Linked DNA regions of Nothobranchius furzeri. The protein of the gene in region 1 purifies or fractionates together with the protein of each later gene. This does not show direct contact. Links are inferred from orthologs where the notes say so. Each region holds a gene or a part of one and is shown on either strand. Other genes may lie near its edges.

What was found. The genes of interacting proteins can lie anywhere in the genome.
Region 2: the proteins of ofd1 (region 1) and cep20 purify together in Homo sapiens (co-immunoprecipitation; 3 studies listed by BioGRID and IntAct, with this or other methods). This does not show direct contact. The link is inferred for Nothobranchius furzeri from reciprocal best matches to the Homo sapiens genes OFD1 and CEP20.

Annotation. Positions count from the first base shown.
Region 1 is NC_091754.1:23,212,031-23,219,618, reverse strand, and holds the start of ofd1 (centriole and centriolar satellite protein ofd1), read right to left. Parts: upstream 4,644-7,588; 5' UTR 4,434-4,643; coding exon 4,338-4,433; intron 4,255-4,337; coding exon 4,063-4,254; intron 3,858-4,062; coding exon 3,789-3,857; intron 3,698-3,788; coding exon 3,673-3,697; intron 3,599-3,672; coding exon 3,491-3,598; intron 3,395-3,490; coding exon 3,258-3,394; intron 3,169-3,257; coding exon 2,995-3,168; intron 249-2,994; coding exon 142-248; intron 56-141; coding exon 1-55. Other genes in the region: trappc2 (trafficking protein particle complex subunit 2), read left to right, coding at 5,104-5,196, 5,327-5,475, 5,778-5,859, 5,946-6,044; rab9a (ras-related protein Rab-9A), read right to left, coding at 7,212-7,588. UniProt on the Homo sapiens protein: Component of the centrioles controlling mother and daughter centrioles length. Recruits to the centriole IFT88 and centriole distal appendage-specific proteins including CEP164. Involved in the biogenesis of the cilium, a centriole-associated function.
Region 2 is NC_091746.1:24,771,309-24,778,840, forward strand, and holds cep20 (centrosomal protein 20), read right to left. Parts: upstream 4,485-7,532; 5' UTR 4,403-4,484; coding exon 4,375-4,402; intron 3,749-4,374; coding exon 3,551-3,748; intron 2,906-3,550; coding exon 2,821-2,905; intron 2,537-2,820; coding exon 2,425-2,536; 3' UTR 2,191-2,424; downstream 1-2,190. Other genes in the region: abcc6a (multidrug resistance-associated protein 1), read right to left, coding at 6,358-6,466. UniProt on the Homo sapiens protein: Involved in the biogenesis of cilia. Required for the recruitment of PLK1 to centrosomes and S phase progression.

The DNA.
Region 1 (7,588 bases):
CCTCCTCAGCAGCTCTTCAGTAGTTTGGACCTTCTCTGCTTGAGTTTGACAGGTCCTGGTTTCATGAAAATAAAGATATGCAGAACAAATATAAAAAGGTAAGAAAATGAATTAAATAAAGATGATTAAAAATAATCTTACTGTTCGAAAGCCTCCATTCTCCTCCTCAGCTCGTTCTCTCTGTTATGCACAGACTCGATGTCTTTCAGCACCGCCTGCCTCTGCAGGTAGATATTTTTTTCTTCAATCTAACAAAAAAAGATGAAATTTTCAATCAATCAATGCTAAAAATCCCACTAAAAAGTAACTTTTTAGGACTCATCCTTGACAGCACTCTTTCATTTCAATCCCACATCAGTAACATCACTCGGTCTGCCTACTTTCACCTGCGCAATCGCCTTCGCCCCTCTTTCACCCCCCACTCTGCTTCCAAACTTGTTCACAGCCTCGTCACCTCAAGAATCAACTACTGCAATTCACTCCTCTTTGTTTTACCACAAAAGTCCATCAATAAGCTCCAACTGGTCCAGAACTCTGCTGCACGCATCATTTCTAAACCCCTGTGAGTCACCATATCAGCCCTGTCCTGCAACAGCTTCACTGGCTTCCTGTGAAACTACGCATAGATTTCAAAATCCTTCTCCTCACATTTAAAGCTATCCATAACCCCCCCCCCCCCCCATACCTGTCTGACCTCATTCACATTATCTCTCCCATCTGTTCCCTCAGATCATCATCCTCTGTCACTCTCTCTGTCCCACCTTTCCGTCTCAGCTCTATGGGGAGCAGAGCCCTCAGCAGCTCTACTCCCCGTCTCTGGAATTCTCTCCCTCAACCATCCATAACTCCGACCCGCTCTCCTCCTTTAAATCTGGACTCACAATCCACCTGTTTCAGACTGCTTACTGCTAGTGTCACCTTTTCCATCTTCATTGATTTCATTATCTAGTTTGTATTTTTAAGGCTTCTGTGTGTGATTTTTGCTATTTTTAACTCGGATTCTTTGTTGCTATTTTACTGCTGTAAAGTGTCCTTGAGTCCCTTGAAAGGCGCTTTGAAATAAATGCCTTATTATTACTTTTTATTATTATTATTAGGGGTGTAAGAAAATATCGTTATGGCAATATATCGTGATATTTTTTCCAGCAATATTATATTGATATTCAAAAGCCGTGTATCTAATTTTTGAAAGAATTTACATGCAAACATTTGTGCATTTTCTTTTCGTTTTGTGTAATTCAATCGCCACCCGCTAGTTGGCAACGGGTTTTGTTTCCACCATTGAAATGTAAATCCCTCCATCATGGTTCAGATACCTCATTTTAAACATGTTACGTATCAGTTTGGACTGTTTGTTGAACACTCTTACAATAAATTCAGTAAAAAAAAATAGCTTGTAACGTCTGACTGAATGTATTGCAATATATCACGATGTATCGTATCGTCTCCCCTGTATCGTGATATGTATCATATCGCCAGAATTTCAACAATACACATCCCTGATTATTATTATTACTCATGATACAAGGAGTTTGTCAAATTAGGTAAACAACCTTGGAACACCTCAAGAAGTATCAGCATATATTTTTTACAGGCCATTCTTTGGATGTTTTATTATGTTACTAAAGAGGGATGACGTGTGAGGAGAAATTAAAGCAGCACTAAAGAGTTTTTAATACTTAACTCATTTACTGCCATTGACAACAAAAGTCGTCGTTTGCATTTCTTTTTTTTTACTGGGTGGGCGTCGGAACGAGCCCCCGCAGCGTGGGAACAAACATCAAGGCTCTAAAGCTGAATTTCATCCGCATACGTCACATGTCACGTGATCAGGAAGCAGAAAATCCATGTGTTAGAACAACGTTTTCGGCCGCTGCTGTGAAAAAAGTGAGGCGCAAAGCTTCTGTCGATCACAATTCAACAACGGATTATGAAAGAACGGATAACGCTCGAAACACGCGGATTCTGAGCTACTACAGCAATCGATTTCCCTCTGGGATTAATAAAGTATTTTTGAATTGAACTGAACTGAATTCTTCCTGATGTAAGAAGTGAGCCCACTCTTTGTTTTGGTAGTTTTGGCGTTGACATCATCATATAGCACAATGTTTTGACTCTTCAAAAAACAGAAAAAAAAAAAACCACAGAAAAACACTGGCAACGTGAGGCTTTTCCGATCAGGAAACGGCTGGCAGTTAACGAGTTAAACTATTGCTTTCAAACTGGTTTCAGTCGTGAACCAGAGTGAACATCGGCATGGCCCACATCAGTTTGAGCAAGCTAAAGGTTACGAAATCACGGACTGATGGTGACCTGGCTTTGTTGATACTGGACTTGTAAGTTATATATTTTTTGTCCAACAGCGTGGACCTTTTTGCTTTGTGGCTTATTTTAGTAGTTATTAGCTCGTGTTAGCATTAGCTCATTAGCACTAGCTAAAGCAGCCAGGGTTATTTACAACACTTGTAATTCTGTTTTCAACCAGTAGGAGGGAGGATTAGGAAAATTTATTTAGTGATGCTAGGTAGAAAACTCAAATGAGGGGTGTTAAGTGACCCTGCACACAACTGCTCTTTGTTAAAAGCCAAACACATTAAAACCATTTTGTTTAACCCCCCCAAACCCAAAAGTCTTAAATGTTAGCAATATTGTATTTATTTTCATGTAAGCACTGATATAATCAGAACATTTAAAAACATTTAAGAATTGTTTAGTTTTAACATAAAATCAGAATTTTTCTGTTGTTTATTTTGCTTTGTTTCTGACTTGGAAATTATATTTAACCAGAAAATCAAGTATCTGAAGTATTTTAATGACACTTTTTGAGGTCTATTCATGATGCTTTTGTTTTAATAAATGAAAACATGATGATGCTGTATGTTTTGCAAGAAACACAAAGCACTGCAGTAAGCAGTGCAATGATAAAAAGTGTATGAAAATAGGAAAAACGTTTTCCAAGCAAACAAACGTCCCTAAATAATAGCAAATTTTCACCTCTTGCTGTTTTTGCAGCCGATCAATCGCATTTTTCTCTCTCTCCATCAGCACCGTTGTCTTCATTTCATAATTCCTCTCCAGTTCTTGCTTCAGACGATCAAATTCTTTATGAAACTTTGATTTTTCTTCCATTCTCACCTTAGCAATCTCCACTTCTTTAAAATGCTGCAGCTAATACAAGAAAGAAAACATTAAAGTAGATTAACACAACACAAACATCTGATGATTAATCCTCATTACAGGAGTTTGTGAGCACAAACCTTTGTGTTCATTTCTGCTTCCATCTGTGCTTCTGTCTCTTTTCTATATGCAGCCAGTTTTGATTGAAAGGGAAAGATTCTGTCATCACTGAAACTAACGCTCTCATATTCCTTATCGATCATTTTCATCTTTTCGACTGAGTGCAAAGAAAACGAGGAAAGTAAAATTTATTTGCTTCAGGCTACAAGATAGAAATCAAAACAGCGTAATTTCAAACAGCAGTCCTTCATACCAAGAGACTCTCCGTAACTCGATAAGCTGGTTGTCTGAGTTTCCACATCATGACAGAGGCTGGGATGGTAATCATTTGTCAGATGTTTTAAAAGGCTGAACAGAAATCCTGCAGGACATAACCACAATATCAAAATCAAAACAAAACTATCACTTTTATAAAGAAAGTATATTAAAACATACCTTTATCATTGATTTCTGTATTTACCTAGCAAAAAATATAAATATATATTTTATTAAAATTTTGCTCAATTTAGATTAGAATTTACTGGCCCTGTAGAGCAGGTGACATTATTCACCATGGAGGAGTAGTGGGGTGATGCAGGGTGGATTTTAAGAATCTGAAGAAGGCCGTCTCTCTTTAAAATCTGTACAAAATAAACATAAACAAACACCTGTATCTGTGTTTATGTATTTAGTAGATCAACAAACACTATTCAGCCAATCCTTGGTGGCAGTGAGGCAGCATAATGAATAATAAAAATAATAATAATATCATAATAATAATAATAAATGTGTATCTACAGGGAATATATTTAAACTTCGTAAGGGGACATAAATAAAGTCACACACCTTGTCCTTACTTAACCCACATTCAGGGTAGAACACAGAAAGAGTGTATTCATATCCTGACGCAACGAGATGATTTGACACGATGCTGTTACAGGCTAAAAGTAAAAGAGGCTCATCTGTGTCCGGTACCGGTCTGGGAGCTGGTTCCTGTGAACATTTTAACTCCTGGATGAGCTGATTACGCAGCTGCACCTGGGGATAAAACAAGTGAATGACAACGTAGCTTCTAATGCCAAGTTGGGCTAAAAAGGTTTAAACAAGGATATTTAGCTTACTTTGAGGGTATCAAGCACTCCTCTGTTTTTAAAAGTCTGATAAAGCCTTTTCCTCAGCTCTTCTGGGGACAACCCATCTTCCTTCGATGAAGACATAACTGCAGGGCTTCGCAGATAAATATCCACACAGCTGTGCACGTTAACGGAATAAATATTTCACCCAAAACAACTTTAAAAGTTTTGGCTATTACGTAGATTACAATTCTCGATCTATCAAGAAAAATTTATATCCAAAAAAATGATGAATGTTTGCCATTAAGCGGCCCGACGAGCAGAAGCGTATGCAAAGCATTTTAAAATTTACCAACCGACACGGGCGCACAAATATGACGTAACAAATATTGGTTAGTGAAAAAAAATGGTATTGTAAAATTTTTACAACATAATAGTAAATACACGTTATTTTGATAATATTCTAAAAAAAAATCTAAAATAATAAAGTCCTCGTGAAACATTCTTTTTTTCTTACTTATACTGTCGTCATCTTCATGCGACTGAAGTTTTAGTCTTCCAGGAAGCGACTCTAAAAGGTAAACAAAAATCGGTTAATCTTGAAATGTAGCTTTGCTTGCTCTATATTTTTCTCTCTTGTGTATGTTTTTCTTTTAAAGTCATTTTTATTACTGAACAACATTATTCTGTTAACCCGTTTGCTAAAAATTAGCCATCTAGCAACTAGCTTCTCTAATGTTTGTTATTTAACCATATATGTTTGTCTTTAATCGACTGCAGGTAACGTTTGATTTGATAAAAGGAGATCTAAACGATGTCGGGAAGTTTTTATTTTGTTATGGTTGGTCATCATGACAATCCTGTGTTTGAGATGGAGTTTTTGCCATCTGGGAAGCCTGAATCAAAGGTACTTCTGCTCAACTGATCATAATAAACTGTTAAAGTGACTTAATTGTGGGAAAATTGCACACACATATTAATCATAACTACGTTAATTAAATGTATTATCTTGAAATTATTTCTTTCTGTGACTACAGGATGATCACCGTCACCTGAACCAGTTCATTGCACACGCAGCGCTAGATTTGGTGGATGAAAACATGTGGCTGTCCAATAGTATGTACCTGAAAACTGTGGACAAGTTTAACGAGTGGTTTGTGTCTGCATTCGTCACAGCAGGACATATCCTTTTTGTGTTTTTTCTCTTAATTATTTTGTTTCTGTTTTAAAAACAACTGGAAAACGTTGAAATGTGATTGTACAACATAGAAATGTGTTATGTGAAACCACGTTTAAAGGCATAAAGAGTCTTATTTTTCCTAATAAAAGAAAAGTTATTCCCAGAATGTGATGGGCTGATTGATTTCTAGTTTCTTTAAAATAAACTACTTCATTATTGTAAACAATAAATATTCATCACTTTTTCATACTCATTCACATGTATTACTCTTGTAAGCTTTATATTCCTTAAATACCTGCCATACATATAAGGTTCATCATGCTGCATGATGTTCGACAAGAAGATGGAATCAAAAACTTTTTTAATGATGTGTATGACTTATACATTAAGGTGCGCCGTGCTTCATGTTTATAAAAAATCACTAATATGTTCTCCTGATCATTTGATATTTACTATTTTCTTTGTTTTTTCCTCAGTTTGCAATGAACCCCTTCTATGAAATCAATGCACCAATCCGCTCGACGGCGTTTGAGAGGAAGGTCCAGTTCCTTGGAAAGAAACATCTCCTGAGTTAATCGCTTTGAGCGGATTCAGTGTGACATTCATCTTTTTGTCGTTTTCCTTTTGTGCAAAACTTGTGTAAAAATGTTATTGTCAAAGTTGTGGCTACAACTATCTTTTGTTCATTTTTATTAAATTCTGACTCTTTGAACCTCTGACATTAGATCACTAGTTCTTCATGAGGAATGCTCTGTATCATGTCGGTGCTTACAGAGCAGAGTACCAAGACAAGTTCTTGATTATCCTTAGAACAATTAAATGAGTCATTATTTAGTTATCAGGCCACAAAACAAGCTAATCAGACAGTTATGAGGGTGTTTATTTGTCATTTAGTATATCAAGCTGACAACTTTATACATAACTAAAATGAGAAACAGTTAAGGTAAATAACTGGTTCACTTTCCAATCAAGTTGTAGCTCAAGTCTTCCAATTTGCATATATGACAAGAGTGCGGTTGGATTATTTTTAAATAATACAGCATTGAACAATGACATACGGTCACTACTTCATCACACTTTCATTAGAAGAAAAAGCTCCATAGTGCTTAGTCTTTTTATTTTTTGAAATGTTAGAAAAATAAATATAAAATGCAATTAAAAAGGCCATGCACAAAACATTTGGTGTTTATTTCTTGTATGGGGAATATGTCTTCATTTTTCTAACATAAAGCATCAATTGACATGCATAACATACAGACAAAACCTAATGTAGTCAATTCATACCTTTTAATGAACTGAAACTGGCTCACTGGCTTCTACAAATAATGTTTTACTTTGCAATTCAATGTTAATTATGTAAATATATGATTACCTGCTCCACAATGACATTTCAAGCATGAAGATCAAATTAAATAATCACACTTGTTGAATGTTTAACATCTGAACACAGAATGTACTTATTTTAAGAGGGATGTGAATCCTTTTTATGGTCAAACCTTCGGCCGACCCCAGTAGTTTTTAAAATGGAGCGAAACTAAATCAACAAGTTAGTGCTTTGAGTTTGTTAATAGACAGATTAATTTAGTGTTTGCTTTTCTGTTTGTTTTGGCAGAAGTCCAACAATGATCACCAAACCTTAAAAAAAATAATCAAAAGTGTTAGTAGCATAGTTTGTTACTACAGCAGTGTACGCCTACAGTCTCATGGCGTAACAGGGGTTTATTAGTGAAAGCTTCTGGATGTTAAGAACAGCAAGTGGTGGCAGAACGAGGCTTTCTGTGGAGCCTGACTGTGTCCGTGGAGATGAGGTAGTCTGTTTTGTCATCCATTGCTAACACTCTATGCACTGCTTCCTCAAATGCCACTGCTACATTAGTGGCATCCTTGGCACTGGTCTCATAATACGGGTAGTCCCCATTCTCCTGGCACCACTCCCGAGCCTCCTCCGAAGACACCTGCCTCTCAGCCACATCCACTTTGTTGCCCAAAACCACAAATGGAAACTTTTCCGGCTCCTTGATGTCGGCGTAGTAGATGAACTCTTTTTTCCAGTTGCTCAGGTTGAGAAAACTCTGGCTGTCGTCAACGCTGAAAGTGAGCAAGCAGCAATCAGAGCCAC
Region 2 (7,532 bases), on another chromosome or scaffold:
TTTTCTATTCACAGCACATTCCAGCATCACAAATGGCCTCCCCCCTCCGTGTTCGCTGCATCCCTCCAGCTTCTTCCCAATGGAACTTCCTATATATGGACACGGTCCTGTTTGCTCCAGTAAATCAAGCTGCTGCTTGATAGCTGTGGCCTGTTTTGTGCCAGAGGCAGAATGCTGCACTGGTGCGTGAAACCTGGTGACAGACCAAAGACCAGAACGATGGACCCTCAGGCTCGCTCTGATCAGCACCACGGAGGTGGAGCGTTGCTCCTGAGGGAGGTGCTCAGGTTGAAGAACTCAGATGAGGCAGGATGGAGGAGGAGGAGGAGGAAAAGAAAGCAGTGGCGAGGCTGAAGTGGGTTCCATATAAGGAGAGTGGAATCTCAGCCGCTTTGTGTTACTCTCAGAGTCTACAAGCAACAACACCGGGCCTCGGTGACTAAATATGGTCCAACAGCAACGGCATTGTTCAAACAAAGTTGTCCCTGCGGGAATAACTCTTATTATTTACAAGCGCTGAGCAGTGGCAGGTGAATCTGGCAGCCGTTGGGATGAGAAAGGAACGTGAAAGAATGAAGGATCTGATGAACTGATTGCAGACGAGATACAGAAATGAGACAAACGTGATCCATGAAAATAGCTGTTCCAATACTATTATAACCGTGATCGATCCGGGACGCCAGCGAGGAGACGTGTGTGTTGACTTTGGCTGGACGTTTTCCATACCTAAGTATGAACCAGAGAAAAGGTTCAACCAGTTCCTCAAAGCTAGGAAACGTTTGTGAAGTTATGAGGAGACGGTGGGAGTGAGCGTTAAAAAGCAGTAGTGGGCCAGTCCCACTGGTACAGTTCCAGCTTCAGGCCTCATAAAACAGTCAAATAAAGTAAAGTAAACTAAATCATGCCCATTTGCATTTATTCAAACTAAATGAGCTGATAGTAAGAGTTTTATACGTGGAGCAACACGAAGAAACCTTTTACAAACAGCACATTTCTCCTAGTTTCATTGTCTTCTCCTTCATGTCCATAGATGGATGTCTGTTGGAGCGATTACATGTTTATGGATACATCTGACCCTCCTGGAATGCGATCGCATCCTGATCTGAGCCCAGGGGTAAACATGACTTCTCTCTGCTGCAGGGAAGGACGCGTTTATGCAGCTGTCACTCAAGCTTGAAGGGAAATGCTGACGATCAGAATCAATGTGAAGCATTTGTTTACGTGGGAACACTAGTATCCCTCAGTAGAGTAGCTGTGCTGATGGGTCAGGGTGATGATTAATGAGCAAGAGATTTATCTGCAACGTGAGACTAAACATCCTAATGGTGACGAGGCCCGCCCATTTTTCTCCACTTATCCAACGTCAGTTCCTGGGGCCAACAGCTTAAGCAGGGAGGCCCAGACTTCCCTCTCCCCAGCCACTTGGGCCAGCTCCTCCAGGGGAATCCTTAGGTGTTCCCTTGCCAGCCAAGAGACATAGTCCCTCCAGCGTGTCCTGGGTCTTCCCTTGGGTCTCCTCCCAGCTGGACGTGCCTCTCCAGGGAGGCGTCCTGACTAGATGCCCGAGCCACCTCACCTGGCTCCTCTCAATGTGGAGGAGCAGCGGGTCTACTCCGAGCCCCTCCTGGATCACCGAGCTTCTCACCCGATCTCTCAGGGAGAGCCCAGTCACCCGGCGGAGAAAACTCATTTTGGCCGCTTGTCGATCTCGCGTTTCATCTCTCCCTCACTCGTGAACAAGACCCCAAGATGCTTAAACTTCTCCACTCGGAACAGGAACTCGTCTCTGACCTGGAGAAGGCATTCTACCCTTTTCCGACTCAAGACCCTGGTCTCGGGTTTCGAGGAGTGCATTCTCATCCCAGCTGCTTCACACCGCTCCAGTGAAAGTTGGAGATCACAGCCTTATGAAACCAGCAGGTTCACATCATCTGCAAAAAGCAGAGGCCTGATCTTCAGGCCATCAAAACGGATCCCCTTGATGAGGACATTTTTATAAAATCAAACAAAAGAATAAACCAATGCAAGTGCAAAGGACAAAAAGTCTTAAAATCAATCAGTTTTAGAAATTTGAAAGGAATTAAAGCTGCATTCATCCTACAAACTGAATAGGCGTCGCTTGACCAGATTTAGCTTTTGTTGGGCAGACACTGCCATCTTGTGGTGTAAAAAAACACTTTCACAGATTCGTAAAGGGTATAAATAAAACTTTTATTATCAACAGTATAAAAAGACAACAAATATGGCCACACTTTATTGTCCCTGGATTTCACACTTCACTGAGGCTTTGTGGAATAATACCAGCGACAGACAACAAGCCGAGTTCAGTCCGATTCTGTGGGATTTCTTATTCTCTACATAAGAGCCAAACAAAGCCTGATTCAGTCCAGAAGCATCGCAAGTCACCAGAACATCCCCCACATGTCACGCATCATGTTCAGGAGCTGCGTTAGTCACAGCAGGACCACGAAGAAGAACCTTCCCTCTGTTATCACCACTATTCAGAAAGTGAGACACCAATCCATAGAGAAGAGGCCTGCAAGGAAATATGAAAGCACATTGACACATTTTTATTTTTCTCAGGCAGGAACTGAGCCTGTTGCTTGTTTCCCAGTTTTTCTCAGTTTTGTTATGGTGACGAGGTGAAAGCAAAACACTAACACGTGTCATATTTTACACAATCAGAGACAACCATTCAAAATGACTATGTCATTACAAAACAATGATCGCCACACTGGTTAAACACAAGCGTTCGGTAAATCACTGAACACTGTTATCAACACCAGACTGTGCTGGGATTTTCCCACTCCTGACACTTACACTGTCTTAGAGCTGGGATCCTCTGTGATTTTCATCTCATTGGCCAGAAACTGTCTGTCCAAGGAAGCCTCGGGCTGGCCCGACTCTGAGAAAACAAACGATGCTGAGAAGAAGTCCTCTGGGTGGTTACACTGATACTGATAAATGACCTGCACTTGTATGGCGCCTCTCAGAGTAAGGACTCCAAAGCGCTTTACACTACAGTGTATCATTCATCCATTCACACACTGATGGTGATGAGCTGCGATGTAGCCACAGCTGCCCTGGGGCGCACTGACAGAGGCGAGGCTGCCGAGCACAGGCGCCACGGGTCCCTCCGACCACCACCAGCAGGCAAGGTGGGTTAAGTGTCTTGCCCAAGGACACAACAGCAAAATTCTCTGACCGGAGCCGGGATTGAACCTGCAACCTTCAGATTACTGGACAACCTGCTCAACCTGTTGAGCTACTGCTGTCCCACTGACACACTGTGGGATCTGAAATGGCACCAAAGCCTTTTTCTGCATCAAGGCAGCTGTGGCTACAGTGTAGCTCATCACCATCCGTGTGTGAATGGATGAATGATACACTGTTGTGGAAATTGCTTTAGAGTCCTCTGACTCTGAAAAGCGCTCTACAAGTGCAGGTCATTTATCTTCATCATAAGTGATCAGTCTTGACCTGGAGAGCATTTGTTTACATTTAAACGTATACTGCTGCCATAAAAACGGTGACTAATTGATTCACACACCTGCTGTCAGCACTGACGCTGTGTACCTGTACTTGTTGAACTCCAGGTACTCCCGGATGAGTTCGTTAATGAGCAGGTTTTCGTGAGACAGAGGAGGCCGCGGTTCACGCTGGTCATCCAGGGCGCTGAACACTTCCGCCCGGATACGAGCCTTCAGCTGACCCAGCACGCCACGTGACTCCAGGGTTTCCCTCACGGCTGAAAACAATAAAACATCTGTATTATAACACATTAATTTAGCAGGCAGCCAATGGTAAGGAGTACGTGTGTGGGGGAGTCGCTTGTAAACCCCAAAGATCATGTATCTTAGCAACACACCAAACCTCACTCAATTATATGTGAATTTCACATTTACTTAAAGATTTTTAGGCTAAATCTTTTATAATATAGCTCATACTATTGTCCATACCTCTAAAATACCCACAGTTTCAATCGTCATAGAATGTAACAACTTTTACTTTTCCGTTGTATTATTATCCCCACAACCAGCTAGCTAATCTAGCTAATCTGGCTAACTTGTGGGTATCCAACATCAGCTAGTGGACAAAAAGAAACACGAGCTAAGCTAAAATAGTTTAAAACGTCTTATTTAGCTTTAACGAATGAAACGCACATTCTAATACATAAAAACCCAGGAAACATTGAGCAAGTGTGCTTTTCTGAAAAATCATTTCCACTTATTTAGCACATTTGTATTATGGGAGATTGCTGGAAGACGCTGTGTTGTTAGCTAAAACGTTGACAAATTTATCATAATATAAAGCGAAATTGTGTAAAGATTTTTGATTGAGGAAAGAAAAACGATATAGTGAGTGAGCTCTTACCACTCTTTAGCTCAGACATGGTCGCCATTGCAACAAGTGATGTAAACAATCCGTTTATGGGCTAACGTCTTCCATCTAGCGGCTGCTTGTTGAAACTACAACCTCAATGGCCCGCAACGCCTCCAAACAGGTGTTTGTTTTCCTCCAAACATTTCATAGCTTTACCTGCAGAGTCTGAGAAGTAGAAGTTGGTGCACCTCACCTTTTCAGGTAAGAACGTTCACCCATATATTCAGCATGAACTTTGGGCTTAATTAGTTAGGATTTCATCAGGTATTTTGCAACTTCCTGCGGTATTTATGATCTCTTTTACTCTTTGTCTTATTTTTGTCTTTACTTGTAACAGCCAAGTTTTGAAGGTCGTTTTTATGACTTTTAATCTCATTTGTCTGCTGAGTGGAATCACTTCAGTGTCTCGCTGTAAAATGTTTTGGAGAAATTTCCCTCCAACGCATTTGTCTTATGTTTCTGCTTCTCTTCATGTCTTCTTTATGAGCCCATTCGTGTGCATGCAATTTAAAATAAATGTATTATTGGAATAGCAGTGCCCCCTTTGATCCTTTGGGCTCATGAGTCTGTTCAGACATTTTTCTGGAGCCTTTGACTGCACAGAACACTTTAAACCTTAACCAACTTCAGACTTATTGAAACTTATCTGTATAAAAAACAATGAATTTGACCAATTCTATAAACTAAATGACTCAAAATCAAAAATAACCACAGATTCAAATACACTTTATTTTCCAGCATTGATCAAGACAGTACATTAACGTCAAAGGTCAGTGAAAATAATCAAGCTTGTTATAAAAAGTATAAATATAATCCTCAGAATTTCAAGGACATTTAATACATTTTGTCATAAAGACATAAATAAACACTTGGGTTTCTCTTAAAATATATTGTCTAAACCAGTAAGACAAAAACAGTAAACACTCCCCCTCTCCAGAAAGTTCATAGAGTTCTTTCTCTGAATTGACACTAAAGCTTCATGTGGACTATTTACAGTCTGTCATGTCAACACCATAAGAAAAATACAGATTTTTTCTCCTCTCTGTCTATGGTATGGCCTGAGATTGTGTGGTGAAGGCGCAGAGACAATCCCGTAGAGATTTATCACCATTGTTTTTAAGAGGCGTTCTCCTCATTCATGGTGGTTTTCACTACCGGTGTCAGGTTAAAGCTGACCAGCAACGTCTCCATTGACTTTTTTATGTGTTTACTTTGACAGAAATAAACAATAGCCACAACATAGTTGGACGATTGCTAATGTCTTGGCTTACTTCAATGTTTTCCTCCACCTCCCTGACATTTAAAAATGGCCTCGTGTTCAAATTTTAAAAGTCTGCATTAAAAAAACACACACACACACACATTTTCCCTGAATTCACCAGCATGAACCTTTCAAGGTTTTTGTGTCAGAATATTTCATGTCCCAATTTTTGGGATGAGAATAAAAATAGACTTCTATCAATTTGCAAGTATAAAAGTGCCTCTTCTTTTTTGTGTACAAGGCTAAAAAGTGTAAGTAAACATGTCTAAGCCTGAGACAACATCAGAAAATGCACCGTGCTTTATCGACAAATACACACAAAAACTGTAAAAATAAAACAACGTCCGTCCCTAAAGAGATTTGTGGATCTCTTGTAGTTCTTAGCCTTTACAGAAAACATGACTTCATTGCTCTATTTACATTTGTAGCTTTAAGACTCAACATTAAAACATAGCTTCATTTTTGAGTGTTCATCTTCCGAAGTGTCTTTTCCTGCACGAGGACAAGGTGTCTTTGTGTGTTTTTCAATAAAAGTCATGCGTCAGCAGCTGCTCTTGAAATTCCTCAACAATGCCCTCACGGAGAGAGTTTTGGGACGCCTCAAAAGCTCAAAAGAGCCCAACTTAATATGTGTTGACGAGCCACACGTGGAAAAGGTGCCACATCTGTACAGCAGATCCCCAGTCCTCTGATTCAAGCCCCATTTAAGAGAGCTAGACCAGCCCCGCTTCAAGGCACATCCTGTAAAACTGTCCTCGCTGTGAGATGAGGTTGGCCGGAGAGTCCATCTCACAAACGTTGCCTCTGTCCATGACGATCACTCTGCAACACAGCGAATAAAAACAGGCTTTAGGTGCAGTTTGCCTAAGCGGTGATGCCTAGGTTTCAGGTTTACTGGGATGTGTAGATGAGATATTTGGTAAAAAGGTATTTTTTTTAAACAAGGCTCAAATCCTATATTAAACAGATGCATTAATATCGTATTTTAGGATTTTCCCCTTAAAAATTTAAGTTTTTCTTGGAAATCACTTTTTGTCTTTGAAGTATTTAACTTTTCATTTTCATTGCCTTGTCAGCTTTTATTCTTACCACTAAACTCATCAGCTATCAGCTCCTGCATCTGGATAAAAATGGGGTACAAAATGCACTGAGAAAATTAGTTTTGCCCTTTTTTTTAGCTGGATGAGCTAAATAATAATAATAAAACACTGATATAGTGCTCCAGAACCTTTGATGTGCATCACTGGTAAACATTACTGTGTGTATTGTGGACTCATGTATAGAAGCTGTGGGTGGTTTCTCATTTCTCGTTGTTAGATAAATTTTACTTAAATTGTCATGCACAACATGTGCCCAGCCCCACGGGCTTATACGACACCGTAAACAAACAATAAAACCATAGATGGCCGTACATTTACAAAACAAGAGCTCACGCGACAGGATAAAGTCCAGATCGTCTCCATAGGCAAGCTCTTTCTTTAATTTTAACCAGGACAACAGTTCCTTTGTTAAAAAGCCAACTTAAAGAGCAAGTCACCCCCTACCAGAGTCTTACTCCACTCCCACTTCCTGTTTGAAAAATGCAACAAATGCTGTTGCCTGGCAGACCGAGAGGGCGGAGCCGCTAACAAATACACAGACAGGCTCACAACGACATTGTGACATCATATGGTACCAGCTAACGTTCTAGGGTACCTCTTAGCCAATAGCGATGGCAGATTTAAATTCAACTGCAGAGTTTTTACCTGACAACGGCACAACACTGACAGTTTTAGGCAGAAAATTAACATTTGAACTAAAATGCACTAAAGTGCTAAACTATTGACTACACGTGTCTGCAGCACGATTAGACACACATTTATATAGTTTATCAGAAAAAATAAGTTGA